Nothobranchius furzeri: one gene and its partners. The protein of the gene in region 1 interacts with the protein of each later gene in a pairwise test. Links are inferred from orthologs where the notes say so. Each region holds a gene or a part of one and is shown in the gene's direction. Other genes may lie near its edges. The genes, in order: prkab2, stx11a, bend5, pias2, D-amino-acid oxidase, creb3l1 and banp.

Region 1 (4,071 bases):
AAAGAGGACAGTGAGTGGTTTCTCTTTACATTTCTGATCAGCAGTTTGAATGAGACCCAAGCTGTTTTTATTCAGAGTTAATATTATTTATGTTTTCTGAAATCTGATGTAGACAAATGACTTTATATGCATGTTTGAAATCACTAATGTCTTTAATAATAAGCATGGATTTGTTGAGTTGAGAAGTTGCTGTTGTTAAGTTAACTGCGGGAGAAAAAGGTGAGGAGTCGAACGAAGCAAAACTAGTTATTAATGTGTTTACAGAAAGGAAACCCAATAGAAACGTAGGCAGCTAATTTTGCATTTGGAGGTTCTGGTGACTTCTTGCTTATAAGTGGTAATTTCTGTTTTTTTACAGTGACTGTTCATTGGTGTAACAGGTTTTCTACTTGTCTCATGGATAAATAAAAAAACTCAAGATATTCTGATATTTTACCTTATTATCTGCATGAGCGCTTAATGAAATTTAACTTAAGTATAGCTTAATGAATTGCAACTTGAGGAGGAGACCAATTTAATGCTGTTTTTTTTTTTTTTTTTAGTATTTATTCTTATGGAGAGTGTCAAACATTGGTTGTAAGAATAAAAGGTCTGCAAAGTTTTTAAGCCAAAAATCAACACTGCCTGGTCTTTTTTGTCCCTTCTTTGTTCTCATCGGTATGGACCTTATTTGCACGATGTTTGCTCCATGTGATCAGCTCAAACTAAACAATCAGCTGGCTTACCCTCCACCATTTTCACCTGAAATAATCAATGGAAATAGTGCATAATTTCTGTTTTTATTTCTCAGGATCTTGAAAAATTTTAGTGTTATGATACTGAGATGTTAAAATAGTTATTAATGTTAACTAAAGTTTAAAAGTGCCCATTTAAAGCAACAAAGCATTAAATTAATATAATCAGCTTATAACATCTGAAAAATGTCTTGGGCAACGCAATGTATTTTGTTAAATATTCTAAAGCATTGGCGCTACTAGTTAAAATAAAGCTACTTTTAAACTTCATTGTGAATAATGTGATTTTTTTTTCAGAATGGAATTTGTTTACTTTGTTTCTTGCCTCCAAACGTAAACTACATTGATTCTAATACTTCAATTTCTATTTTTCCTCTGTGTGCGTTCTATAATTTTTTCATACAACAATGAAAAAGTTTAATTTTCGTTGAAAGAGGAAAACAAACGTATTTATTTAGATATTACAAAGGTAACAACCCCTCAAATGTAACTGACGTCACGTCTCTTCCCGTTCCTGATTGGCTAAAATCACTTTTTGGCCTCTGCGCTCGCCGTACTCGGAGCCCCGCTGTGCTGCTGTTGTGAAAAGTGGAGGACGCGGACAGGTCTTCGGTTTGAAGACAAACTGCTGTCCTGAGGAGCGGCAGCTGGTGCTTGTGAGTGTCTCCTTTGTAGCTACACGGGAAACCAAAAGCGTTTCTATTTAGCTGCATAATTTGTGTCGTTAGCAGTCATTATTAAAGCAGACAAGTCGTTTTTGTTTGTTTGTTAGTAGTGGCTGCTGGTAGCTAGCTAAGTTGAACTGCGAGCAGCATCTAAAAATATTCACCCTGGCTGAGCTGAGGTGGACAGGAACAGCCTGACGTCCAGCGGGCAGTGGTGGGTTACGTTGACTTTATGATACGGCACATGTGGTTTCACCTGTTGCTCATGAAGCTAGAAAAGCTTTTTAAAGCCGTTAAGCCTTTGGGCTAAACCACACAGCTCACCGTTGTCATACGCAGCAGTGATGCACGCACAGTTCCAGTCATTTTAACACATCAGTTACTGTGTTTTTGCAGCAGTAACACTGGACTGTGGACAGCTGTTTGCTGTCATCACGTTCTGATACAAACTGGGTCTCTTCATGACACCTTGATCTCCTGATTGTGATCCTGTTGTCTGTTTAGATGTCTTCAGCAATGGTTTGGGTCAGCTGATCAGGCATGGGACTTGGGTTAGTGGTCAAATACAAATATTTAACATTTTTATCTAATATGGGATTTTAAATAGACTTCTAATTGGACTGATTTATATATTTGTAAAGTGTAAAATCATAAACTAAAACTTTTTTGTGTCTTTGTAGTATCTTGATTCACATGTGTTGTGTTAACAACAGCGTTATACATTTGCAGGGTCTCTAGTGTAATGTAAGGTGCAGTTCTGGGAAACATTGGTGGAGTTTCTTTGCTGGCTGGTTCTAGTCTATTTACTGTATTACAATTTTATCTTGCAAATTAAAACGAGAAATTTAAAAGCCATTTATTTACCTCAAATAAATGGTAAATGGCCTGTATTTGATATAGCGCCTTCTAGAGCCCTGGAACCCCCCAAGGCGCTTTACAACACAACCAGTCATTCACCCATTCACACACACATTCACACACTGGTGGGGATGAGCTACGATGTAGCCACAGCTGCCCTGGGGCGCACTGACAGTAACAGACAAATAACTTCTTTTTAAGTTCCCTTGACAAAAGGCAAATTTCTTACTAACAAAATTTTAGTTGCATTTTAAGCTGTGGTTGTTAGTGTCTAAACGGCTGGAGTTTTGTAAAATTGGATGTTCATAGCAAAACAATTCTCCTGACCTTGCAGTGGGAAGTCAGGCTGTGAGGCATCATGGGAAACACCAGTGACAGAGTATCTGCTGATCGCCATGGAGCGAAGGCCCAACGCTCCGACAGCAGTGGGAGTCACAAGGACCAAGAGACCAGCAGCAAGTTGGTGGACAGCACAGATGACCCTAACATCTTCAATACCCATGGACCTGAGTCAAAGGTAACCCTCCGGCAATTCCGACTAGGGTGCAGAATCGTTTCTTTGCTCTGTGTGATCAGTTTTCTGAATATCTATTGATGTTGCACGTTTGCTGCTTCTAGACATCAGGAGAAAAAGAATTCACCCCAGATCTCGACGACTTGGTTAAAACTGGTCCTCAGGCTCGACCCACTGTAATCCGCTGGGCTGGAGGGGGAAAAGAAGTCTACATAGCCGGTTCTTTCAATAACTGGAGCACAAAGATTCCACTAAATAAAAGGTAAACAAATTATTTTGTAATTCTATCTCACTAGGAGCTAGCTCAGGGGTGGACAACACTGGCCCTTCAGGGCCACTATCCAGCATGTTTTAGCTATTTCTCTGCTCCAACTCACTTTGTTTAATGGTTGTGTCACCTGCTCAGTGGCTTATTTAGCTTGTTAATCACCTGCTGATCAAAATCTGTAGTGTTGAAGCAGGGAAACGACTAAAACATGCTGGATGGCAGCTCTCGAGGACCGGGGTTTTCCCCCTCTGAGCAAGCTGCAGGAGTAGAGATCACTTAAATGTTTTTATTCAGTTTAGATTATCTGGTGTTGCACTTAAACTCTTTTCTTTTTGAAGTCACAATGACTTTGTAGCCATTCTGGACCTGCCTGAAGGAGAGCACCAGTACAAGTTTTTTGTAGATGGACAGTGGCTCCATGATCCATCCGAGGTACAGCAGACCCACCTTTGCTCTGCTTGTTTTTCTTATCATTCACCATATTCTCAGTGCCTCCTAAATTAGTCTAAATGTCTCAGAACAGTCAGTGTGTTTACATGCACATCAGAAAACCAAACTGTTGCCCTAAGTAGACTGACGTGATTTTTTAAAATCACGTAAACATGTTCGTCTTGCTGAAGGTGAACTGGTTGTTATCGTAACCAGATAATGCGGTAGAACACAACTGCATCTGCATGTAAACGGCTCCGCCAAGCTGATACTGGTAACTGCTGAATGTGACGAGTCTGCAGAAGTGGTCTTCTGACATTATCACCACAAAGTAACAAGAACCAGCCGTCTGGACTTTGCGCAGCTGAACCGAAGTAGTAACTGGATCTCTTTGACTTTGACACCGCTCGTCTTTGGAGATTAACGGATGCTCCGCTTATTCTGACGAGCAACGTTAACAGAAACACAAACTAATGACATTAGCAGCTGCCCGCTCCAATTGCACAAAAACGTTTTGTGAAATTATTGTAACAAGACTGTTACCGCGGGTTACAACAGAACTACGCACCACACCGGCGTTATCACTTTCATACACATTTATTT
Region 2 (4,033 bases), on another chromosome or scaffold:
GATAAGTATACAAACAAATTGCATACAAAATTGAACAAAGAAGATGAAACATATGCCAGGGGGTGCACTACAGAAATGTTACACACATCCAAATAAATTACAGGTGGTGCAAATAGTTATAGTTTTTAAAGCTTTTTTGTTTAGTGATCCACTAATCAATTTTATGCAAGATAGAGTGTCACTATAATAGTGCTTGAAATTAGGTTTTTGGTTACTATACTTGCATTTGTGGAGATAGAATTTAGCTAGATTAACAAATTTATAACAAAGTATACATCTTCCTTTCTCTGCTTGCGAAAAAAATACAGCATTTTCCCATTTTAAAACGAAGTCCTTGCAGAGCTGTCCGATAATAAATCTGCTAAAGTCTTTCCAAAACGTTGTAGCATGTGAACAGATCCAGAAGAGGTGGGATTTGTTGTTTTATTTGGTTGTGGAGAGTAAAGATTTTCTGTCCTCTGCTGGAAACAAGTGGGTACTGCAGCGTTCAATACAGCGTTTAGTCCAATTTACAGGAAAGCCAGAGCGTCTTCACTTATATAAACTACTAAAACGCAATAAATCAATTTTAGTTATCTGTGTTCAACTCGATTAAATCAAGGAGCTGCAGCAGGAGCTAAAAGCAGCTAGCCACAGCACAGCAAATAGAGCAGATCTACCGCCCTCTGGCGGCCACAGGGCGAAACTACACGGCAGAAGGGTTTGTTTTTTGGCAATGTAAAACAGTTACGAAATTTTACCAAACTAATCAAACATGTCAGATATAAAAATATTGGTTATGAGTTCAACAGAACAATAAGCACCCAATTGCATCTAATAAACACTCAAACATTGATACATAGATTTTTTAAGGTCCTTTTTTTGTTTCAAACAGGAAAAGCATTACGTCTTTGGATTTCACAATGAATGTATGAAATACTCAAATAAATAAAATAAAAACAAATACTAATAAAAAACGCATGCTAAAAAGCTACTGAAAATCTGAGTAAATCACAACAGCTGATTTAATTTGATGAATTTGTTTATTCAGAAAAATGATATATGCAATCAATTATAATTACGTAACGTCATTTTAACATTTCTAAATCACCCTTATTCACAATACATTTTAAGTAAAAGCTTTGAGTTCAGGAAGAACTTCCATTCGGACCCCTTTGATGGAAGTTCTTCCTGAACTCAAAGCAGGGTTTGATCTTCCGCGTAGTTGGTCTCGCGGCGTCAGGAGGCTGGTGACACTCACACCTCTTTACTCAGACTGTGGTTGATGTTGGTGAAATGTCTAAATGTAACCGAGACACAAAGAGGAAACGGGTCTTTCTTTTCTTCTGTTTCTAAGGAGAGTTCTCTTTAGGAGGGCACCGCCATAAGGTACGTTTACTTCTCTGGTTTTATCGCCTCAAGTAACCTGGCGTAGTTTACAAGACTCCTCTTAGTTTCTTCGTTTACCTCCTCCCATCAGATCACTAGATGCTTATTCGTTTCTGTTTTGTTCATAAATACTTGAAATAGTTTGAAGTAGCTACACAATGTGAGTAGCATGTGGAGGACAGATGAGACTAACTAGCAGCTGAAAGCGTCACAATCTGAGGAAGTAACAGAGCAGTTTCCTTTTGTAGACATTACCGCCTGAAATTATTTCTAAACCATCAGTTTATTTATTTATTTAATTATTCATTCATAACCAGAGAAGCGTCCACACCTATTTTATCTTATCGCAACTCAATCAAAACTAATTAAAGTGAGAGCAGTAGCAGCTTTATGACGAGATAAGTATAATAAGAGTTGAATGGTTTTTAATTAGGTGTGTTTATATGGTTGATCATCATTTCTGTAACCAGGAAGAATTTGGTCGAGTCCAAAATGCATAAAGATAAAAATGAGACATTTTTGAATGATTGCCCCACTTTTATTGTTTCCAAAAATAAAATGGTCCATATTACGTCACAGCCAGTGAGTAACAGCAGCAAAAAGCTGATTCTAAATGTGTCATAGCAGCTTATAAGAGTTTAATTAGGATCTGTGTTTTCTAGGAGGGCTCTGGTCCAGCTTGTTGTCCGAAGGCCACCTCTGGTTTAATGCACCAAATAAGACTAAATGTTACCACATTTCTCGGATCACTTTGAAGATCTTACATAATTTCGAGGAAGCTTAAAAGCCCGTCTCGTGTTGATAATCATGGCCACATGATGATCAGCACTGTTCCTCTTTTCTGCAGCGTTATTATTTCCTGACAACCTGAGGAACCTCCTAAGATGCTGCTTAAAAGAGTGTTGTGTCAGATATCTGGAGTCAGTCTGAAAGCAGATCTTGTTTTTATTGTACTCTATTACTCTCCTCGTCTCTTAAGTTACTCAGAAGACAAAACTGCAAACTGGGCCTCAAAGATCTTTGTCTTTTGGAGATATGTCCAGCTTCCGCTCATCTCAGAGCGACGGAACATTTCATATATTTTAGAAAATAACAGATCGAACTGACTCTTGCTGCAGGTGAAATGAAGGACCGACTATCTGAGCTGAAAACCGTCACCCCGGAGCCTGCTGAGGAGGAGCTTAACACAGTCTTTGAGGATGAGGAGGTCGCAGAGTCACTGGCCATCGTGTTTCAAGGTGAAGATGTGATGGACGGCATCTACAAAGATGCCCAGATGATGAGGAAGGAGCTGCAGCTGCTGAAAATTGACGTGAAGCGTCTGGCGAAGCAGAACACGCGGTTCCTCACGTCCGTCAGGAGGTTTAGCAGCATCAAGCGGGACTCTAACGCGCTCGGCCGGGACATCAAAGCCAGGGGGGAGGCCATCTACGCCCAGCTGGAGAAGCTTGGAAAGCTGAGCAAAAAGCTTGGAGAGGAACACGGCTTCACGTCGGCTCTGTCTCGTATGGTGCGCTCACAGTACACTTCTCTGACTCGGGCCTTCCACGAGGCCATGTCTGAGTACAACGAGGCCGAAATGATCCAGAGGGAAAACTGTAAGACCCGCATTCAGAGGCAGGCGGAGATCATGGGCAAGGAGGTGACCAGGGAGCAGCTGGACGAGATGATCGAGAGCGGGAAGTGGAACGTCTTCTCGGATAATCTCCTTTTGGAGGGGAGGACTACCAGATCTGCTCTGAGCGAGATAGAGAGCAGACACAAGGAGCTGCTGGAGCTGGAGGGTCGCATCAGAGACATCCACGAGCTCTTCTCCCAGATGGCTCAGCTGGTGGAGGAGCAGGGCTGCATGCTGGACAACATAGAAGCAAACGTCTGCTCTACTCAGGACTACGTTGCCAAGGCAACGGTTCAAATCACACAGGCTAAAGAATACAGTGAAAACAACCCATGCAAGAAACTCTTCTGCTGCTGCTTCCCGTGCTGTAAATGATTCTTGGTCAGATTTAAACTGGAACTCTTTATAATTTTCCTTTTACGGGGTCAGCGTCAGACATCTCACTTCATTTTCACGTACTGTGCTGGTCTGAGAAGGAGGAAGAGTCATTTCAAACCGCGCTGTTCACATACAAATGCATTCAGTTGTAATCGAGTTGTTGCATTTCCTGATCGTAACTGATTATTACTTTCTGCAGCACCCACATGACTCCACGTCTCATCAAAGATATGTCATTGCAGCTTTTTATGTCGGGTAATGCATGTTTCATTCAGTAAAACTTGATTTATTTCTAAATTACTGCTTTGGAATGAAACGGCGACCATTAAAATGGGAGAAAAAAAAACAAAAGCTGGAGCTGACGTTGCTGCAGCTGTTGGCCAACAAGTGTGTAGAAACACAAATATTAGTGGTTAGCTGGGAGATAAGCTGCGTTCGTGTTGAACAACAAGCCTCGTTTTGCTCCAGCTTTATGCCGGAGCTTTTGTTGCTTCATATGAGATTAGCTCCAGCGTCTGGAGTCTGATTGGTGTCATGTTACATCCACACAAGCTTTTCTCTCAGGCGTGTACCTGAATCAGTGTCAGTACAAACACTCAGAGCCAGAGCAGGGGACTTCCTGTTGGTACCAGAGTTCTTTGGTAATCTGGATTTTTTCTCAGATTAGGG
Region 3 (3,500 bases), on another chromosome or scaffold:
TGGTTGTAAACAACAAAGTGCGCATGTGCCGCCGGCAACTTCAGCAGATGATACGGTGGCTGGTAAGGGTCACCGCGCCTACACCGCATCCACGGTAATCCACCGAGATAATTTTTTTTTTAAAATAAGACGGTTATTATTATTGTCAACCTTTTTACCGGGGTTTACCGCTACACCGGTTACCGTGACAACCCTATTATGTAACATAGATAAAAGATAAAATTTTGATTGGTTCATTTCTAATCTGGCAAATCTAATGTTGAGTTAAATGTATGGGTTGTGTGTATATTATGTTGACACTGCTGTGTGTCCAAGTCCTTAAGCTCCAGATGCTGTGGTAAAGATCAGACCCCCCATGGATCCAAACAGAGGTACCTGTTGGGCAGACCATCTAATGGACAGGCTAAAGATTAGAGCACCATGGGATTCTGTCAGTCAGGAAGTAGAGCACGCTGACCGATATTAAAACTCATCAGCTGCATTGGAGCTTAGCATGGCCAGCTACCAAGCCAGCTTAGTTACTGGGCTAAAATAACCTGCTGTCTCAAGCCACAGGGAAGCCCAGGCCTGAGGCAGGAATAATGTAAACAGGAAGTTTTACAGCAGGAAATAAAGGTGGCAATGGCTTCTAATCAATGGCGTGCTTTTCCAGTAACTGCTGTATTTTACTTTTGTAAAGCTGGTAGATGATTAATTCAGCGCTTAGACGTGTATTTACACAATGTTAAGTATTTTTGTTTTTGCGTTCTAGAGCCTATGCATGACAATGGCACTCAGACAATCAAGGCTGAAGTGGTTGAACCTATTGTTGAGACCCAGGAAATGTGCAGAGAAGAAGCCAACACAAGCTCCAGCTACTCGCCCTCACCTAGAACAGTGTACACCTGCAACGATGGGAAGGTAAGACTGACTCCACTGAAAGCACTGTCCTCCACATAGTGCTGTTATTTTTACCTTTTGATCTGAGATTCAGTTAGCTGTACCAAACTTTATTTGTCTTCTGCGTGGTGCTCCTTGTTGGCCGTTGTAATGTTTATTGTGTCAATGTTCCATCTGCAGTAAACCAGAACTTTGGTTTAAATAAAAACAATCTATTTTATGTCTGACTTGACCTCTGATGTGGACGCTATAACAGAAAAACTGTAAGTGTAACCTTAGTATCCTCTAATGCCAACGTACTGTATCTCTGGCTATTTGTTTGTGTGCGAGCATAAAAAGAAGCATGATTCCTGTAGGAAACCGTGCTCTCCTTGCTAACAACCACGAAAGCAGGAGCATGCTGTTGAACTCGATCTGTTCTTTCCCCTTTGCTTCCCTGTCCTAGCAGGTAAACAAGGTTGAGAAGATTATTATTGTTCCTGCCAGCCTAGCCAGCGTCATCAGTGTTTATTAGCCTGTTAGGGTTCTTTCCTTCCCTCACTGCTGTAACTCAACCAGCATCCTGTCTCTGATGACAGGAGGAGAATTGGTACTACAAGCTCTGGGGCCTTCAGCCACTCCAAGCGTGAAGAACACTTGCAAATTAGAACACTCCTACATCAGGGAACCCATATTAATTATTTGCACAAGAGGAATTTAAAGTGACTGACAGGTTAGCCCTAGTGAGAGTGCACCAAAGTGTTGGGAGGATGAAAACAGTGTGGTCTAACTTAAGGGCAGTAGAAAGCTTGTCTGCTGGCCCGCGGCGTAAAGCACATTAGCTGCACGGGGAAAGCTCCTGGATGCTAGACTAAAGACTTTACAGTGATAAGAGAATAGAGGCAGAAAAGAGTTACATGTGCACTAGATCACCTAGAAGACCAGGGCAGCCTGTTGGCTCTGATGATCAGCTTTGAGTCATTTGTGGTGATTTATGCTAGGTGCGCTAATAATGTATAGAAGGGCTAAGATCAAAACGGAGCTGATCCATGCTGCAAACGTTGACCCACGTTTATTATCTCAGCACGTGAAAGATCTTGTGCATGGCTGAGATGATCTGTCCTGACTGTCAACTAACTGAAAGATCTTTAGCGTCCACTGTGCTTATTTAAAAATTGGTACTACCTTAAACTCCTGTGGAGATTTAGGACAGCACAAATAAGCACAGCCCATTCTGTTCTGTTGGCTGTAAAAAACATAAACACATGGCTCATGTGTCTCTTTGACAGATTTCCAGAGGAGACAGCACTGAGACCATATCACTGAATTTTAGATCTTTGTTAGATGAAGTATTTGATATTGTGTGTGAGCACATCAGTATCAGAGTTGATTTACTTGAGACCGTGCCGTCTAAGATCCCACAGAGCTGATAGCTCTGAGGGGGATTAGCTACGCTCTAAGAGTTACAAATGGCTGTTGGACCATCAGGAGGACAACACACTTATATTAAAGCTTCACTTGGCCATCCTGTTTAAACCTGCAGTTAGGAGTCAGCGGTGGCTGATACTGGTGTCATCTACCTGAGCTTGTTTTACTGTCCTGTTACTTCATATGTTTTTTTAAAGAGCTTATTTTAACTTTATTGCTTAGATTTGAGATGTGACTCATAAAGGCTTTTATTATTTCTGTCACATGCAAAGCCAAGTGTTTTGATGATAACGTTCCAGACAGAAATGTTCTTAACATTACACAAATAACATGGCATGCCCAAAGACTTTGTAGAAAGTTTGTGGAAATAAATGTATTAGTATGTTAGTTTCTTTAGGTCTAAGGCCATGTACACACATAACCAGGTTTTCTAAAGCCAAATATCCTCCCCCACCCATCTAGAAAAAACCTTGGGCCAACCCCACAGATTCATAGGCATGCCAAGACTGTAGGTGGCAGTAGTTCTCCACATCGCTGGCATCTTTGCTGAAAAACATTTTTGGGAATAACTAGTTGGTGGGCAATAACCATCCTTAACATCATTTGAGTGTGGTCTTCTAAATAGAGCAGTAATCACGCTTGTAAAAACAAGTAAGCAAGTGTAAACAGGTCGCACAGGTCAGAGCATGTTTTTCGCGGCTAGTGATGTTGCGAAATCTATAACCCCAGTTAATTACATCCACGAGCAAATGCTGACAACAGAGAATTCACAAATCTTTACTTTGTTCAAATTTTTTGAATGAATCATTTTTGGTGTCCTATATCTTCAATGTTGTGTGGATCACAGGCCAAACCGTAGAAAACATGTTCACTTTTTGTGATACCCAACTACGTGTGTATAGGGTCTAAGAGGTGGTAGACACAGTGAGCCTCCACTTAAACGTCTGCCTATAGGGAACATGGAGGAAACCAAGTGTTACACTAAAGTGGCTCGGATTTTTAGTAGTCTGGAATAGCAAACAAAACAAAGGTATTGTTTTTAATGGTTGCATATCATGCTATTTTAAACCTTTGACAACACATCGGCCTGAATTTATACCCAGAAGTAAAACGTTTAATAAAACGCCCACACCCGCTGCGGCAAAACGTGCCTACATTATTGTCTTAGGCAAGGTGTTTACTGTATTGGCTATGGCAGTCCAGTGGTGAAGGCA
Region 4 (3,993 bases), on another chromosome or scaffold:
CAAATAACAGATTTACACGTAAGTAGTTTAAATAGAGTGCTGTGCTGTTTGAATGTATAAACTGAACGCCAAGAGAAATCACTAGTTTGATTTTTTTTTCCGTGAATAAAATAAATATGTCAGGCAGGAACGTCTCAGGATCTGTCTGAGAGCTGTCTCGGTGACACAGATAATTGCAATCCAAAGTGTTTTTGATGTGTGATCTGACACTTGATCAACCATTGCTTAAAAATTAAATACAGCTTAGCCGGTTAATTGCTGTGATCATAAAACACGGAAACGGCAGCACGCAGAAATCACGAGGCAACGTTTTACGTGATGTTTACTTGTTGCTATGAGTAATAAGACAGAAAAAGCCACGCCAAAATAAGTTTAGGAAGCCCGCTAAGAATCGTAATAAAAGCATTTAAAAATAAATACCACACACAGTTGAGGAAACGTTAGTTTAAGTACCTGATATGAAGCGGTCGCTGCATAAGTGAAATCCTTTACTCTCGGGGTCCCACAGCTCCATTTTAGCCCGGTCACCAGTGCATTTTATTACAATGATCCAACGTTTGCGGCGTTCCGGATCTTGGGGAATCCTGTAGAAGGATCTTCCCTTGACTTGTCCCCGTCTGTTCTGGCATCCTGGGGCACAACAGGAATCGACCATATTTCCCGTGTGAGATTTATAACATAGTCTAGCTGCCGGCTTCTGCCTGCCAAAATGGTGCCGTTTCGATTTGAACTGTTGCATGCTGGGAGAAGTGACGTCAACTCCCGGAGCTCTATAGAAAAAACAAACACATTCAATTCATTGTTAACAGTTTGATAATTTTTGGGAAATTCTTTATTCACAAATGCAGTTTTATGAAAGTGAAGCCAAGCCTGTCATTTTTCCAAAAATGATTTTATTACTTTTTGCAAATCCCTTAAAAAGGTAAATAATATACAGGCTGTTGAACTTGTCAGTGTTGTTGAAGATCTTTTGAACTAAAGTCCTCTGTCTGTTACTTTACCTTATACTTTATCATTTATAAATCTTGTTATTTCTGCAGCTTAGACATTTTTCCAATTGTATTTGATAAAAGCTGTTCGTTGCCTACTGAGTTTTATTGTTTGTTATTAAAGTGTAATGTGATTGATGTTCAATTAAAAACAAGTTTCCACTTCCTGTTTCTGGTTCCGGTCTTTCAATGCACTTGGCGGCGATAACGTTCTGTTAGGGCGGGTCAAAGACAACCTCCGAGAGTCACGAAGAAGAAATGAGGCATATCAAGATGGCGGACTACCGAGAGTTACAGGTAAGTGAAAACATTCACATTAATTCTGACAAATTTCAGTCAACGAAGCGCTTGCTGTTTCCCTTTAAACGGAGCGTCTCCTGTGTGAAGCCCCTTATCTCTGGTTGAGACACTCAAAACTAAACACGGGTTTAGTTTCGACTCGGATATTTGGTGCTTTTTGGTTAGCTCTTATGCTAACAGATGTGTTGTATGTGTTTGTGAGCCGCTGAAAACCTCCCGCTAGAGTGTACTTGTAGCTACCGTATTACATACACGTTGTTGAATACAACCAGGGTTAGGAACAGCTGGTTATGCGGTGTTTGGACGGAGTACTTGTTCTGCTAGTTAGATTATGATTACACATAACCGTGACCTTTCGAGTCAGTGTAACCAGTCCAGGAGAACACTAACCCTGCTTTCCAGGGCCACTATCCTGCATGTTTTGTGTCTCTTCTCCAACACGTTAGGTTGTAGTCTATGGGCTTGTGCAGCGCGTGATGAACTGCTGAACAGGTGATTCCACCACAGAGAAATAGCGAGAAGATGCTGGGTTGGGTTATAGAAGCTATTTATGACAGCTTACAGTCATGAAGTAGAATAACAAAAATAATAAGGCATTTTATTTAAGCTCACTGTACAGAAGACGGTGTCGGTACAGGATCTGCTCGGGTGCAAGATCGGCTCGGGGTCCGTCGACTGCCGATGACGTCAAAGTAGTTGATTGGCTGAACATGAACCTCACGGAATTACGTAATCACGTTACGTTGTTATCACGTTACGTTGGTCCAGGCAAATCTTTCTATTGGAAAGATGGACAACTTTTACAAAGAAATCCATCATTACCTCTTTGAAAATACACTTTTAGCATAGAGCTGCATGCATATTAGGGCTGAACGATTAACTGCATGTGCAATTAAATTGCGATGTGACAAAAGGAGGGGGGGGTTGAGTTCAGATGGTGCTTGCACAGGTGCATGCAGCGAGCTGCTCGTCCTCTTTACGCAGTGGAACCTTGGATTTTATTGGCTTTTTATGTATTTTTGTTGTGTCTAATGCTTTTTTGAATGGTGTGGCTTCTCTGGTGACTTATGATCGAACTGCGCTGCTGAGGCTTCGTCCTGTTGATGTAGCGGGCGCTGCACGCTGGGAACCTCACGGATGGTGTTGTTGTTTGGACTGCCCGTGTGCTCTCCCCCCCCAAGCCGAGATGTGTCGGCCCTCTGTCCGCCCCAGCTCGAGAAGAAAGCATCGTAGAAGACGGGAAAGCGAGGTAGCCGGCGCATGTTACCCGACATGGGCAACAAACAAAGGAAAACAACAACAGAAAGAAAAGAACAACCAAAGCAAAGAACCAGAAACCCAGAAAGACAAGAACCAAAACCAGTGATAACCTTACCATGCATCAAAGGCATAACAGAAAAAATAAGAGCAACAATGAAAAAACACAACATAAACACACCAACAAAACCATACACAACAGTTAAAAACAGACTAGTACACCCAAAAGACAAGATACTAGCTGGACTTAAATGTGGAGTCGTTTACGAAATCCCATGCAAACTCTGCAATAAAACATACGTAGGAGAAACCGGACACCAACTCAACACACGAACAATAGAACATATAAAGGAGTGCGAGAAAGAGGCAAATCGAAAACACACAAGAGCAGCAAAAGAAGAAGCAGAAAGCACAATAAAGAAGTCAGCCGTAACAGATCACTGCACAAGAGAAGAGCATATAATGGACTGGGACAACACAAGGATCATAAAAGAAGCTATCGAGATAAGGAGACGTGGATGTGGGACCATGAACAGAGACGATGGTGTTTACTCGTTGGATCGCGCATGGGACTGCATCGTCGGAGAGGGGAGATCGGGCAGCAGAGGGCGACAACGTCCTCTGCTGCCCGAGGATAAACGGAGTAGGAAGTGACGCCACCATCAGCGTAGGGCTGGGCGATATGACGATTTTAGACTGTTTTACGATCTATACATCTGACGGTCTGTCATTTTTGAGAGACCATTTTATCACGATTCTGCTGTTGAATTTCTGCCTCTGAATGAAAAGGGAACTTACCCCAGGCGAATGACACGCCTTTGTTTGACCCTTAACCAATCAGAATGAGTCATAGTAATATATTAGTGCCCCGCTTGTTTTCACCTGTGTGTGAGCAAACATGGCTTCGGCTGCGGCTGAGAGCGACAACGAGGTTTTCGTTCCGAAGAGGAACACCTTTTCTATAGTACCGACCGAGCACCGATTAACGTCATTTCAAACGGTGCCTCGTTTCGGTACCCGTCCTTCATAACGAGAACTTGCCAAGAAAGCTGCGCATACGCAAGAGCGTTATGTCGTCGGTCCCTGCGAGCGAGTTGTAATCAGAGCAGCATGGTAGAAAGAAGAACGCACGCTAACGCTTGGGTCCACTTCACTAAATGTGACGGGTAACTGGGTGATGAAACCAGCGACAGACAACGATCTAAGTGAGTCATCATCTTAATCTGCTCTGGTAGGTAAATAAAATGTTTAAGATAACGTTACCTTGATATGTTAGCTTCCGTTTTGCTAATGGTGCGTTCGCTTTCTCCTCGGAACTCCGAATTTCCGACTAGATGAACATGAACGCGCTCTAAAGTTTGGCTTCACTTTACTAAACGTGACCGGTGATTGGGTGAAGATGAAACCAGCGACAACGATCTAAGTGTGAGGCATCATCGTTTTAATC
Region 5 (4,133 bases), on another chromosome or scaffold:
ACCGCTGTATTGTCACCAACGCCATGGCTGGTAGCTGGGCAGGAACGGACCAAACACCGGCCACTGGGGCCTGGAGAGCTGCAGCTAGCTGCCGGGCTAACGACACACACATACAACTGAGGGCAGGAGAGAGAGAGAAGCCGTGTTACTATTCTGCAGGATGGACTCTCTCTCTCTCTCTCTCTCTCTCTCGTGTGTGTGTGTGTGTGTGTGTGTGTGTGTGTGTGTGTGTGTGCGAGCGCGCGCATGCGCAGGAAGTGATGCGTTCACAGCCCCATCACACCCTGACGACAGCACAAATTAAAACGTTCACTAGTTTATTCAGGTTCATTTACCTATAAATTTAGGTATAACGATGCCATATTTTAAAATTATTAAATTTAAAATTATTATTTATTTACATACCCTTACACAAACACAGTAAATCATTGACAAAATAAGGAAAATGAAATACTTACATGAAAAAACTGCAATAACCTTAAGACAATTGAATTTTTTATTAGTACAACTGGTAACATGGAATTGTTTCTTCTAAACTTGATCTTGATTTTAATGCTACTTATCTACCACTGTTCTGTCAGAGTACTTTTTGTCTTGATCCTGTTTCCATTTAATATTGGTTGTTTTCCATCTTTTTATTTTACAGAGCACATTCCTTTGGGAACATGCTCCTAGTTCTCTTCAAACTCTCTGTTAATATTCATCTTAGCTTCTTGCTCTCTCAGCTTTGTTCTCATAAGTTGGATGGATCCATTGCTTTGTCAGTACTCTTGATTTGGTTTGGTCAATTGTAATTTGTAATCTTCCTGCCTTCTGCTTGTTTATCATGCTCCAAGATCACCTTGAACTATGATGTGTGAACCACAGCTGTACTAAAACAACATATATGAAGACTCCTTGGTACAGCTGTAACTCTGGTTATTCCACTTTAATTGCTATAGTTGACCTTATTGCAGCAACGCTTATGTCTACAAGCAATTACCAAGGCTTCACCATCATCATCTGTATCACTTTTTGGCTGCTGTTTAATGTAATCTATCATTTTAATGATAAATGACCCACATGTATAGCGCCTTTCTGAATCAGAGGAATCTAAAGCGCGTTACACTACAGCGTTTCATTCATTCATTCACACCGATTCACACACACCTTCACACACTGATGATGATGAGCTGCAATGGTAGCCACTCTGCCCTGCTGACAGAGGCGGAAACAGTTGAAACCTTCAACCATATTAACTCATACCACCTTAAAAATGACAAATAAATGCATGTTTTAACCCTTTCGTGCAACAGCTAGCATTTGTGTCCCTGTGACATGTTAGGTTTTGGTTTTTGTCTCCTCATTCTGATTGTGTTTTAGACCGAGGAGACGTGAACGCAGCAGCAGGCTCCGCCCTCCCATGTGATCCCCAGTGAGAATTCCTGTGGTGGCCTGAAGCTGATCTGAGGTAAGGCTAAACTTTTCCGACACGTCTGCTTTATGTATTTCAGTAAATGATCTTGACACTCTGTAGCTCTTGCAGCTCTGTCGCAAGTTTTAGTAACTTTCTATAATTCTGTTTATTCTTGAAACCAAAAATCCATATTTATCTTGCATGTTGCACAATCCATTATGCAGGGTATCCATGACTAACTTTCAAATTATTATCATGGGGATTCATTTCTTAAATCATGTCAGTTCATCTCTAATTTCATTCACAACTGTCTAAAATAATCAGCATTATAATCAGATAGAAATAATCTAATAGAATGGCAGCTTTTCCAGACTTAAATCTCCTCACCACCTGTTCGGAGTGTACCTGTGCACACAGGTGGGTAACAGTTGTGTTTTAGTGCAGAGATGCGGGTGGCAGTGATCGGAGCTGGAGTCATTGGCCTGTCAACAGCTCAGAGCATCTACCAGCAGTTCCACTCCACAGTCAGTCCTCTGACCATTGAGGTGTACGCAGACCGCTTCACTCCCCTGACCACCAGCGATGGAGCCGCTGGCTTCTGGCAGCCCTACCTCCACGATAAGGGCAACATCCAGGAGACGTGAGTGCAGCCTCTGCTCCTGCAACCTTAGGTTCCTCTCTACTGACTCCATATTAACCCCCATGTGTGTCATCACCTTTAGCATGTGGAATAAGATGACCTTTGACTACTTGCTGAAATGGCTCAGCTCTCCGGATTCTATAAAAATGGGAATCTTTCTTCAGTCGGGCTACAACCTCTGTGAGGAGCCTACTCCGGTTAGTGCTGCTTTGATCTTTGGAAATGTGTCTATAAATAGGAAACATAAGAGCTGTCCATAACTTTTTACAAGAACAAATAACCCCTGCAGCGAGAAAGTGTAACAGCCAAATAGATCATTACATAAGTTTATCAGTTCACCATAGATAATAAAGTCCAACGGTTTTCAGGTGAACTCCAGTAAATCGTTGTTCAGCAACACAAGGGATGGTTAATAAACACCAATCAAGAGGCCTCAGTCAGGGTTAGGTTTGCACCAATGGAGATCCTTAATGCTAACTCAGCTGTGTGTTTCTCCTGCTGTGGTCTGAGTGTAAATAATTTGTTACTGACTGCAGGAGCCTTCATTTAAGGACATCGTTCTGGGCTTCAGAGAGCTCACTGACAGGGAGCTGCAGATGTTTCCTGGATACAAGTGAGTTCTCCCTGCGAGACCCGTTAAACTAGAACCGCTGCTGTTTTATATAAGACCAGGGTTAATCTGAGTGGTGCAGTGAACTCATGCACGAATATGTGTGCCATCATTATCAGTATTTAGATTTGCACAAACAAAGCCACAATTGCTTAACTTACATAAACATTTATTTATCATTACAAACTTGAACACTCAAAAAAGCTAGTAAAACAATTTAAATGAACATTTTTGGTCTAAATAAATTGTAGCAGCTGCTGTGTTTATATTTTTCCCTGTTTGGTAATAGATTAAATAAGCACCAATTACTGAAAATGGGACACAAAAATGGACGAGTTGGTCTCCTTCATGTCCAATGTTGACTGACACGCTACTTTTGTCCAGGTATGGCTGGTTTAACACAGCCCTCATGGTGGAAGGTAAATCCTACCTACCGTGGCTGATGGACTGGTGAGTGAACTCTCCCGTTTTTCTGCGGTTGCATTATTCAACATTTAATGATACGAGGTCATTTAGTTTGGTGCATTTGATATAAAAGCTGTTTGGGTCGATTTGTGCTCCTTTTTTCTACTCTGATAAAAACAAAAACGGCTGTTTTACTTTATCCACAGACTTACATATAAAATGCTGCGTGCATTATTGGGTTGCCATCTGATAATTAACTATACACATGACCTTTTTTTCTTTTAAATTTCAATTTGATCTTGTGTAATTTGATTTTATTATTTACTTTTTTATCATTAATAAAAAATGTTTTGTGCACATGAGCATCTTGTGATTTTTATCATGAAAAATCTTCCATTTTCTGTTTTTTATTGTGAGTAAAATATTTTTTTGTTTTTATAATGTTCAAACTTTGTTGTAGGTTGAAAGAAAGAGGTGTCAAATTTCATCACAAGACGATCAAGTCCTTTAAAGAGGTCAGTGGGTGTTTTTCATCACTACAGATGAAAAGAGCTGCTTCCATTCAAACATCTCATCATGTTTTTATTCAGAATGTTATCTCGTAACAGTTTTGTCTCTAACTGCCCCTGGCTGGTTTTAGCTGTCTGATTCGGGGGCAGACGTGATCGTAAACTGCACCGGGGTCAGATCAGGAGAGCTCCAGCCGGACCCGGATCTTAAACCGGGCCGTGGCCAAATCATAAAGGTGAGTGCGAGAAGCTTTAAGTTTATACAGAATGCATCAAAGCTCTTTAACTTTTCTTTGTGTTTAAGGTGGACGCTCCATGGCTGAAACACTGGATTATCACCCACAGCAATAAAGCTGGAACCTACAACACTCCATATATCATTCCAGGGTAGTTCCCGTAACACAACGTTGATTAAAAACTATACAATTCACGTGCTTAATTCGTTTTTCTGACCACATATATTTGGTTTAGAAGCAGAAAGTGAAAGAGCAGTTGTCATCATTTCTGTGTCTGCAGGAGTCGTCTTGTGACAGTTGGAGGATGTTTCCAGGTCGGGAACTGGAGCGAACAGAA
Region 6 (3,500 bases), on another chromosome or scaffold:
GCCAGCTCCTCCGGGGGAATCCCAAGGCGTTCCCTGGCCAGGTGAGAGACATAGTCCCTCCACCGTGTCCTGGGTCTACCTTTAGGCCTCCTCCCGGTTGGACATGCCCAGAAAACCTCACCAGGGAGGCATCCAGGAGGCATCCTGACCAGATGCCCAAGCCACCTCAACTGGCTCCTCTCGATGTGGAGGAGCAGCGGGTCTACTCCGAGCCCCTCACGAATGGACGAGCTTCTCACCCTATCTCTAAGGGAGAGCCCAGTTACCCTGTGGAGAAAACTCATTTCGGCCGCTTGTATCTACTGTCTCATTCTTTTGGTCACTGCCCAAAGCTCATGACCATAGGTGAGGGTAGGAAGGAACGTAGATCGACCGGTAAATCGAGAGCTTCGTCTTCTGACTCAGCTCTCTCTTCACCACGACAGACCGGTACAATGCCCGCATCACTGCAGATGCAGCACCAATCCGCTATCAATCTCACGCTCCAGTTTTCCCTCACTCGTGAACAAGACCCTGAGATACTTAAACTCCTCCACTTGGGGCAGGACCTCATCCCCGACCCGGAGAAGGCATTCTACCCTTTTCCGAATCAAGACCATGGTCTCAGATTTAGAGGAGCTGATACTCATCCCAACTGCTTCACACTCGGCTGCAAACCGCTCCAGCGAAAGCTGAAGATCACATTCTGATGAAGCCAACAGAACCACATCATACGCAAAAAGCAGAGACCTGATCCTCAGGCCACCAAAACGGATGCCCTCCACACCTTGGCTGCGCCTAGAAATCCTGTCCATAAAGGTTATGAACAGAATCGGTGACAAAGGGCAGCCTTGGCGGAGTCCAACACTTACTGGGAACGAGCCCGACTTACTGCCGGCAATGCGGACCAAGCTCTGACACCGGTCATACAGGGACCTAACAGCCCGTATCAGCAGGCCTGGTACCCCATACTCCCGGAGTACGCCCCCACAGGGCCCCCCGAGGGACGCTGTCAAGCGCCTTCTCCAAATCCATGAAACACATGTAGACTGGTTGGGCAAATTCTGCACCTGACCCCTTTGGCCCCTCCCACGAGTGGTGAGCCCATGGGAAGGGGGCCCAGCCGGGCTCCATGGGTGAAAGCCCGGCCACCAGGCGCTCGCCAACATGCCCCACCTCCAGGCCTGGCTCCAGAGGGGGGCCCCGGTGACCCACGTCTGGGCGATGGAACATGGTTTCCATTTATATAATTCATCATAAGAGGTCTTCGGGCTGCTCTTTGTCTGATCCCTCACCTAGGACTTGTTTGCCATGGCTGACCCTACCAGAGGCAGAAATCCTCAGGCAACTTAGCTCCTAGGATCATTGAGACACTCAAACCCCTCCACCACGGTAAGGTGGCAGCCCAGGGAGACTTGGGAGATGTTCTCTAGCTAAAGGCTTCCTTTCTTCTGGAATTTCGTTGTTCCATCTTTTCCTGTTTTTCATTATAAGATGACTTTTGAATTTGACCACTAATACCTTTATCCCTGTTTACATGTACGTAAGAAAGCGGAACTCTCAGGTGAAGTTCGTTCCACCCCGGTACAGTAGGTAGTGTTCTTCTGGTTAGCTTATAGCAATGCAAATAGTAAACAAGCACTGGTGGGAGTGAAGCAGACCAAGGCAAAGCGGGATATGATCAAAGGAATGGACAACAACGACGCTGCAGCACAGCTCATTTGGAATTTGTTTCCACCGGGAACGGAGCAGCGCGTCTCGATAGCATACCAGAGGCAAAGTGTCGCAGCATTGCTCTGAGTTTTTTACGTTGCAGTGTAAAGCAACTTACAAAACAAAATACCTGTGCAGATTTCCTATTGGTTAACCTTAAAGTGACAGTGTGTATTTTTCCTGGTGATAGGGGCAGTAGATGCCTAAATTGTTGCAAGCAAGCTGCATTTTTGTGCTGTAGTAAGACCTTACCAACGGATGCCTATTAGGGTCAAAAAGCCCTTGGGAGGGTCAAAAAGCCCTTGGGAGTGCAAACTTGAGAAAAATAACAGGCACATCAGACTCCCTTTTAGGGCTGGACGATATGGACCAAAACTTGTATCTCTGTTGGCTGAATTCCGATATACGATATATATTTTGATATTTTTCCTCCTGTAAAACATTAACAAGTTAACTCACTTCAAGCTGAGAAATTATATACATAAATCAGTAGATTAATGCATAACAATGTATTGATTCTTGTCAAACTTTAACCTCGGTGCCTATTATCTGGTACAGCTGTCTGCTAACACACACACACACACACATATCTTGTCCTTGGGCAAGACACTTAACCCACGTTGCCTGCTGGTGGTGGTCGGAGGGACCGGTGGCGCCAGTGCTCGGCAGCCTCAGCTCTGTCGGTGCGCCCCAGGGCAGCTGTGGCTACATCGTAGCTCATCACCATCAGTGTGTGAATGGATGAATGATACACTGTAATGTAAAGCGCTTTGGAGTCCTTACTCTGAGAGGCGCTATACAAGTGTGGGCCATTTATCATATTTCCAGAGATTAACAATAAAAACTACACATTGTCCCTTTAAAACAGGTGTCATAAAGCGATGAACAAAATAAAACCAAAAGCTATCTTTCTCCTTGCTTGTTATCTAGTGAAATCACATGTGATCTTGTCGTTCTGTGATTCTGTGATAAGAGGAATGCATTTGCAGCTGCTGCACACCTGAAACAGTCATGATAGGAAGCGACGCATCGGTAAAGTCATGGCGAAAACGTGTCTTTTACCGTAGAGATCCGGTGGAAAACCTGGGTTAGCTAATGTTGGGTTGACTTAAGAAAATCCATCTTCAACCTGCGACTTCACCAAGATTATTATGAATCAGGCTGTCATACGTTAGTTATTGCTGTTTTTGTGTCCCAGCCCTTTTCAGGTGACCAGATGGACGACTTCAGCACTGAGTTATTTAACAGTTTCTTTGACGACCACCTGCAAGAGCGCCCCCTGCTGGCAGACAGATCTTCTCCTCTACACCTCAGCATGGACAGCAGCCCAGGTGAGTTCAATAGAATCAGCACAAAACTCCTGACGGCTTTAAAATAAAAGAACAAACCCAAAGAAAGTGGAAACACGTTTAAAAATTAACCATTTTATTCAAATGCATTAGTGGTTTTGTTTTGACTTCTAAAATAATGTTTGTTTTCTGGATTAGCACGAGCCCTTCAGCAGCCAACTTTAGGCTTATAAAAGACGTTTGTTTTGATATGACAGCCCAGGCACCTACTGTATCTAAACGTCACGCCTTCCTGACGTCACACCCAGCTCCTTCCAGACCTCAGAGGTCAGACATCATGATATAAGAGGCAGCTTCTTTGTCTTTGCCAAGTTTGAGACCTCCAAACATCTGCCGTTGCCCCCAGAGGGATTCATGCTAGCCTCACTGGATGCAGGACCCTGGTTTTTCTGCTCAGTCTGTCGTCATCTCGCCCATCTCATCACCTCACATCAGTGTCTCTGTCAGGTGTTGCCATGG
Region 7 (3,500 bases), on another chromosome or scaffold:
TTCATTTTGATGTGAAACAACACAGACCTGGAAGACTGTTGCAACCTAGTAAAATGGCAAAACCTACATCCAAAAGCATGGTCGCATGGACTCAGAAACCATTAATTGCATTTGATGAGAAAAAGCCAAACTAATCGACGGTTCTGCTCTCTTACTGACCGTTCCAGGTGCTGCGTGGAGCTCAGTTGATAGCTGTAGCATCAGCTGATGGCGCAGCCGCAGCGGTGGAAGGCTCATCCCTCCCACCTGACATCCAGGTGCAGTACGTCCAACTAGCTCCTGTTGCAGACCATGCATCATCTGTTCAGGTAAACCAAAACCACAAACCAGAACAAACTGTTTCAGGCACCTATTACCACATTAAGTTTGCGGCAGAAAGGCACTTAAAATACCAAAGATCAAACAGACCTCTGCTTATGTAATGCTTGTTTTCAGACAGCTCATAAAAACTGCTGTCTTACTTACCTCTTGTTCTTCACTGATGGTAAATATTCAATTTGAGTTGTATTATTTATTGTGAGTTGTCTTTAAGTTGTACTGTTAATTTTACTGATAATGATCTCTCGTCTATTGTTGAAATCGTGTAGCAAAAGACTAATGAGTTGTTGACGAGATGACAGCGATGACATTTGGTTTATGAGCTCAAACAGATTGGTGGTTTCCCTCGAGTTTTTCAGAACCTGCACTCATCACATTAGCTTTGCAGTTACGGATGCTAGCCAAACTACGTTCACACGACAGAAATGTTTGGTCCCTTATTTTCAACGTCATTCATTTTTTCCGTTTGGGGCGCTTGTTTAATCTGTTTTTACCAGCCATGTAAGCTGTTAACTGCAGCAGCAGGTTGAACTACACTAACATTAGCCGTTAGCAGCGCATCCGTCTGGCTGATACTGAGCCGCGTGGCTCAACTAATGTCGAAGTTCTATCAACCCATTCTCAAATGGTGAAGTTATTTTGAATTTAATATTGCTTTTGTTTTATCGCCCAGTCTTACACTCAAGGTGAACATTTACTGTGTTTTTATTATTTTACTATTTTTGGTTTGTTTTTTCATTGTTTTCTTCGTATTCGGGTAAGGGTCGCAGGGGTAGCCACCCCAGCAGAGAGGCTTTGCGTCCTCCACCGATCTGTTTGAAGGCCAACATAGATACAATCATCCCATTGTGTTCTGGATTGACCCAAGGGCCTCCTGCTGGAAGAACATGCTCAAAACACCTCCCCTGGAATGCATCTAGAAGGTTTTCTGACCAAGTGCACTAACACCACCTCAGCTGTTTCCTATCGATGAGAAGGAGCAAAGACTCTATAAGTCTCTCTCTGGAGGTTCAATCTCCTCACCCTGTCACTAAGACTGATCCAGTCATGACCATTGGTGAGCATTGAAACAAAGGTCAACCACTTCATAGAGAGTTTTGCTTTCTTGCACTGCTCCTCATCATCTCAACAGACTGGTTCAGTGTCTGTATCACGGTAGATAATGCTCCAATCTGCTGATTGATCTTTCACTGAACAAGACCCCGAGATACTCAAACTCCTCCACTAGAGGTAAGTCCCTCCAAACCGGAGTTGGCAATCCACCTCTATCTGGCCAAGACCAGATAGAGGTGGATTGACCACAATAGACTATTGAACACAATAGACCAGGCATGGATGTTATTTCACTAACATCCATGCCTTGGACATGGAGTTGCAGATTCTCGTCATCATCTTTACTTTTTTCATTCTGCTTTGTCTTTTTTTTTTTTCTTGAAGAAAGTACCCTTAATGTTCAGCCATTCTGGGAGATGGTCAAACAGCAATTAAACTAAAAAATGTACTAAGTCTTGTGAAGTGAAACAGGTGAAATTTAGTGAAACCCCTTTTTGAGCAACAGCAACACGTTGAATCAAGATGGTGTGCAGGCACACGGCGGGCCGGCCTTTGAAGTGGTCAAGGGATTCAAAACAACAGCTCTCTGGCATTGTTTTTTCTTCTTTTGTTCTCCCTGAAAATATCAAATGTCTCATTTCATTTTTCCCTTTAAGTGAAGCAGTAAGGGCCATCAGTGCTGTTTAAATTCTTAGTCGAGTGTTTGTTGTTCTGTTGTTACATAAACAAAGCTGAGAGATTATTTACGACAGTTTTTAATTCCGCTGTAGACGTATCTTGTACTCTGATCATTTTCACCTCATGTAGACAGCAGATGTGCTCATCAGCCAGAAAGCAACCTTTGGATTTTCCCTGTGAAGTTTTTGCCCGCTCAAAAAGATCCTGTTTTGTTGTCCTTTTGTTGTCCTTAGTTGACTAGGTAATTGGTTCGGTGCCTGTGTGTTTGGGAAGACGCTGATATTGATCGTGATTTTTGGGCGAGCACCACACAAACTGATAACTCTCAAATTATTTTTCATGTGTATTCATTCACGTCCACAAAGATCACCACTCTGTCTCCGTAGATGTGCGCTTCATGCTCTTTGGCGCAATCAGACTGTTTGTTTACACAACTGATTTGTTGAAACAGACTTTTCAGGTTTTAAAGCCCCCTTCTTTTAGCTGGATATAACGTTGGATTGAACTTGGATCTCAACAGAAATGGTTTGATCATTCATCCATGTGCTGTTTGGTGTAGCTGGAGGTTCATTAAGGCCATGTGGCGGTTTTTGTTGATCGATGTACAACACTCCAAAATGTTATTTGGAGGGAAAAAAAGTGTTAAAGAATGCATCTTAGTGGTTCAATGTGATCCTTTCACCCTAACATATATAATAAAAACAATTCCAAAAGTCTCAAAATAGTGTGTAGCTTTTAAAAAGATGGATGTGTTGTTATCACAGTTGTGTTTTGATATCCTGGATAGTATTTTTGTGGGCCAAAGTTAAGACAAAGGCTAGTGCTGCTCATTCAACCTTTTTGAGCAATATTAAATCAAGGGCTCTCATCATTTTCCAGACATGTGGTTGCATTTATAAAGCTTACTGAAAAATTACTCAGTCTGATGTATTTATTTGTCTCTGCATTTTTCCTCTCTTTTTACTTTAATTGTTTCCATCTCTGAGATAAGGTAGGGGCTAACACTCAGTGACGTTTTTGCCTTCCATAGACCATGTCTGCAAGCTGGTAATGTTTTCATTTTTGACACGTGGTTTATCATCAGTTTTTAATTTAAACACACTTCTTACACCAATAGGTTTGGGGGAAAGAGAAAGAAACTGTACAGTACATCCAGTTATGGAATTCACATTTGTGGAAAAACACTATTCAAGTAGACAGCAACCGACAGCTAGTGAACTGTCTGCTAAGTAAGCAGTTAATACTTTATTAGATAGTTTATTCACGACTAAAAAATCACTAAGTAGTATTAATGAAGGGACCCTTGAAGTATTAAAATAAATGTACCACAACATGATATTTTTGATGTTTCTAATGCTCTTATAAGTTATATGAGCAGACAAATATGCTTCCTTTATAAAAATGTTTGTTTGTTATTGCAGCTATTCAAAACAAAGATAAATACTCAGAAA

The links.
Region 2: the proteins of prkab2 (region 1) and stx11a interact in binary tests that used the Homo sapiens proteins (3 or more experiments, as listed by UniProt). The link is inferred for Nothobranchius furzeri from reciprocal best matches to the Homo sapiens genes PRKAB2 and STX11.
Region 3: the proteins of prkab2 (region 1) and bend5 interact in binary tests that used the Homo sapiens proteins (3 or more experiments, as listed by UniProt). The link is inferred for Nothobranchius furzeri from reciprocal best matches to the Homo sapiens genes PRKAB2 and BEND5.
Region 4: the proteins of prkab2 (region 1) and pias2 interact in binary tests that used the Homo sapiens proteins (3 or more experiments, as listed by UniProt). The link is inferred for Nothobranchius furzeri from reciprocal best matches to the Homo sapiens genes PRKAB2 and PIAS2.
Region 5: the proteins of prkab2 (region 1) and D-amino-acid oxidase interact in binary tests that used the Homo sapiens proteins (3 or more experiments, as listed by UniProt). The link is inferred for Nothobranchius furzeri from reciprocal best matches to the Homo sapiens genes PRKAB2 and DAO.
Region 6: the proteins of prkab2 (region 1) and creb3l1 interact in binary tests that used the Homo sapiens proteins (3 or more experiments, as listed by UniProt). The link is inferred for Nothobranchius furzeri from reciprocal best matches to the Homo sapiens genes PRKAB2 and CREB3L1.
Region 7: the proteins of prkab2 (region 1) and banp interact in binary tests that used the Homo sapiens proteins (3 or more experiments, as listed by UniProt). The link is inferred for Nothobranchius furzeri from reciprocal best matches to the Homo sapiens genes PRKAB2 and BANP.

Annotation. Positions count from the first base shown.
Region 1 is NC_091751.1:56,442,070-56,446,140, forward strand, and holds the start of prkab2 (5'-AMP-activated protein kinase subunit beta-2), read left to right. Parts: upstream 1-1,271; 5' UTR 1,272-1,390; intron 1,391-1,450; exon of another isoform or gene 1,451-1,613; intron 1,614-2,591; 5' UTR 2,592-2,615; coding exon 2,616-2,774; intron 2,775-2,875; coding exon 2,876-3,033; intron 3,034-3,377; coding exon 3,378-3,471; intron 3,472-4,071. UniProt on the Homo sapiens protein: Non-catalytic subunit of AMP-activated protein kinase (AMPK), an energy sensor protein kinase that plays a key role in regulating cellular energy metabolism.
Region 2 is NC_091758.1:20,330,304-20,334,336, forward strand, and holds stx11a (syntaxin-11a), read left to right. Parts: upstream 1-1,233; 5' UTR 1,234-1,368; intron 1,369-2,486; 5' UTR 2,487-2,491; coding exon 2,492-3,361; 3' UTR 3,362-3,738; downstream 3,739-4,033. UniProt on the Homo sapiens protein: SNARE that acts to regulate protein transport between late endosomes and the trans-Golgi network.
Region 3 is NC_091748.1:56,169,897-56,173,396, reverse strand, and holds part of bend5 (BEN domain-containing protein 5), read left to right. Parts: intron 1-751; coding exon 752-900; intron 901-3,500. UniProt on the Homo sapiens protein: Acts as a transcriptional repressor.
Region 4 is NC_091757.1:20,892,958-20,896,950, forward strand, and holds the start of pias2 (E3 SUMO-protein ligase PIAS2), read left to right. Parts: upstream 1-1,193; 5' UTR 1,194-1,286; intron 1,287-3,993. UniProt on the Homo sapiens protein: Functions as an E3-type small ubiquitin-like modifier (SUMO) ligase, stabilizing the interaction between UBE2I and the substrate, and as a SUMO-tethering factor.
Region 5 is NC_091757.1:45,692,506-45,696,638, reverse strand, and holds the start of D-amino-acid oxidase, read left to right. Parts: upstream 1-1,333; 5' UTR 1,334-1,450; intron 1,451-1,835; 5' UTR 1,836-1,842; coding exon 1,843-2,036; intron 2,037-2,118; coding exon 2,119-2,233; intron 2,234-2,572; coding exon 2,573-2,649; intron 2,650-3,030; coding exon 3,031-3,096; intron 3,097-3,511; coding exon 3,512-3,566; intron 3,567-3,691; coding exon 3,692-3,796; intron 3,797-3,864; coding exon 3,865-3,947; intron 3,948-4,076; coding exon 4,077-4,133. Other genes in the region: ssh1a (protein phosphatase Slingshot homolog 1), read right to left, coding at 1-112. UniProt on the Homo sapiens protein: Catalyzes the oxidative deamination of D-amino acids with broad substrate specificity. Required to catabolize D-amino acids synthesized endogenously, of gastrointestinal bacterial origin or obtained from the diet, and to use these as nutrients.
Region 6 is NC_091754.1:48,074,172-48,077,671, reverse strand, and holds part of creb3l1 (cyclic AMP-responsive element-binding protein 3-like protein 1), read left to right. Parts: intron 1-2,890; coding exon 2,891-3,023; intron 3,024-3,500.
Region 7 is NC_091744.1:74,128,674-74,132,173, reverse strand, and holds part of banp (protein BANP), read left to right. Parts: intron 1-167; coding exon 168-308; intron 309-3,500. UniProt on the Homo sapiens protein: Controls V(D)J recombination during T-cell development by repressing T-cell receptor (TCR) beta enhancer function. Binds to scaffold/matrix attachment region beta (S/MARbeta), an ATC-rich DNA sequence located upstream of the TCR beta enhancer.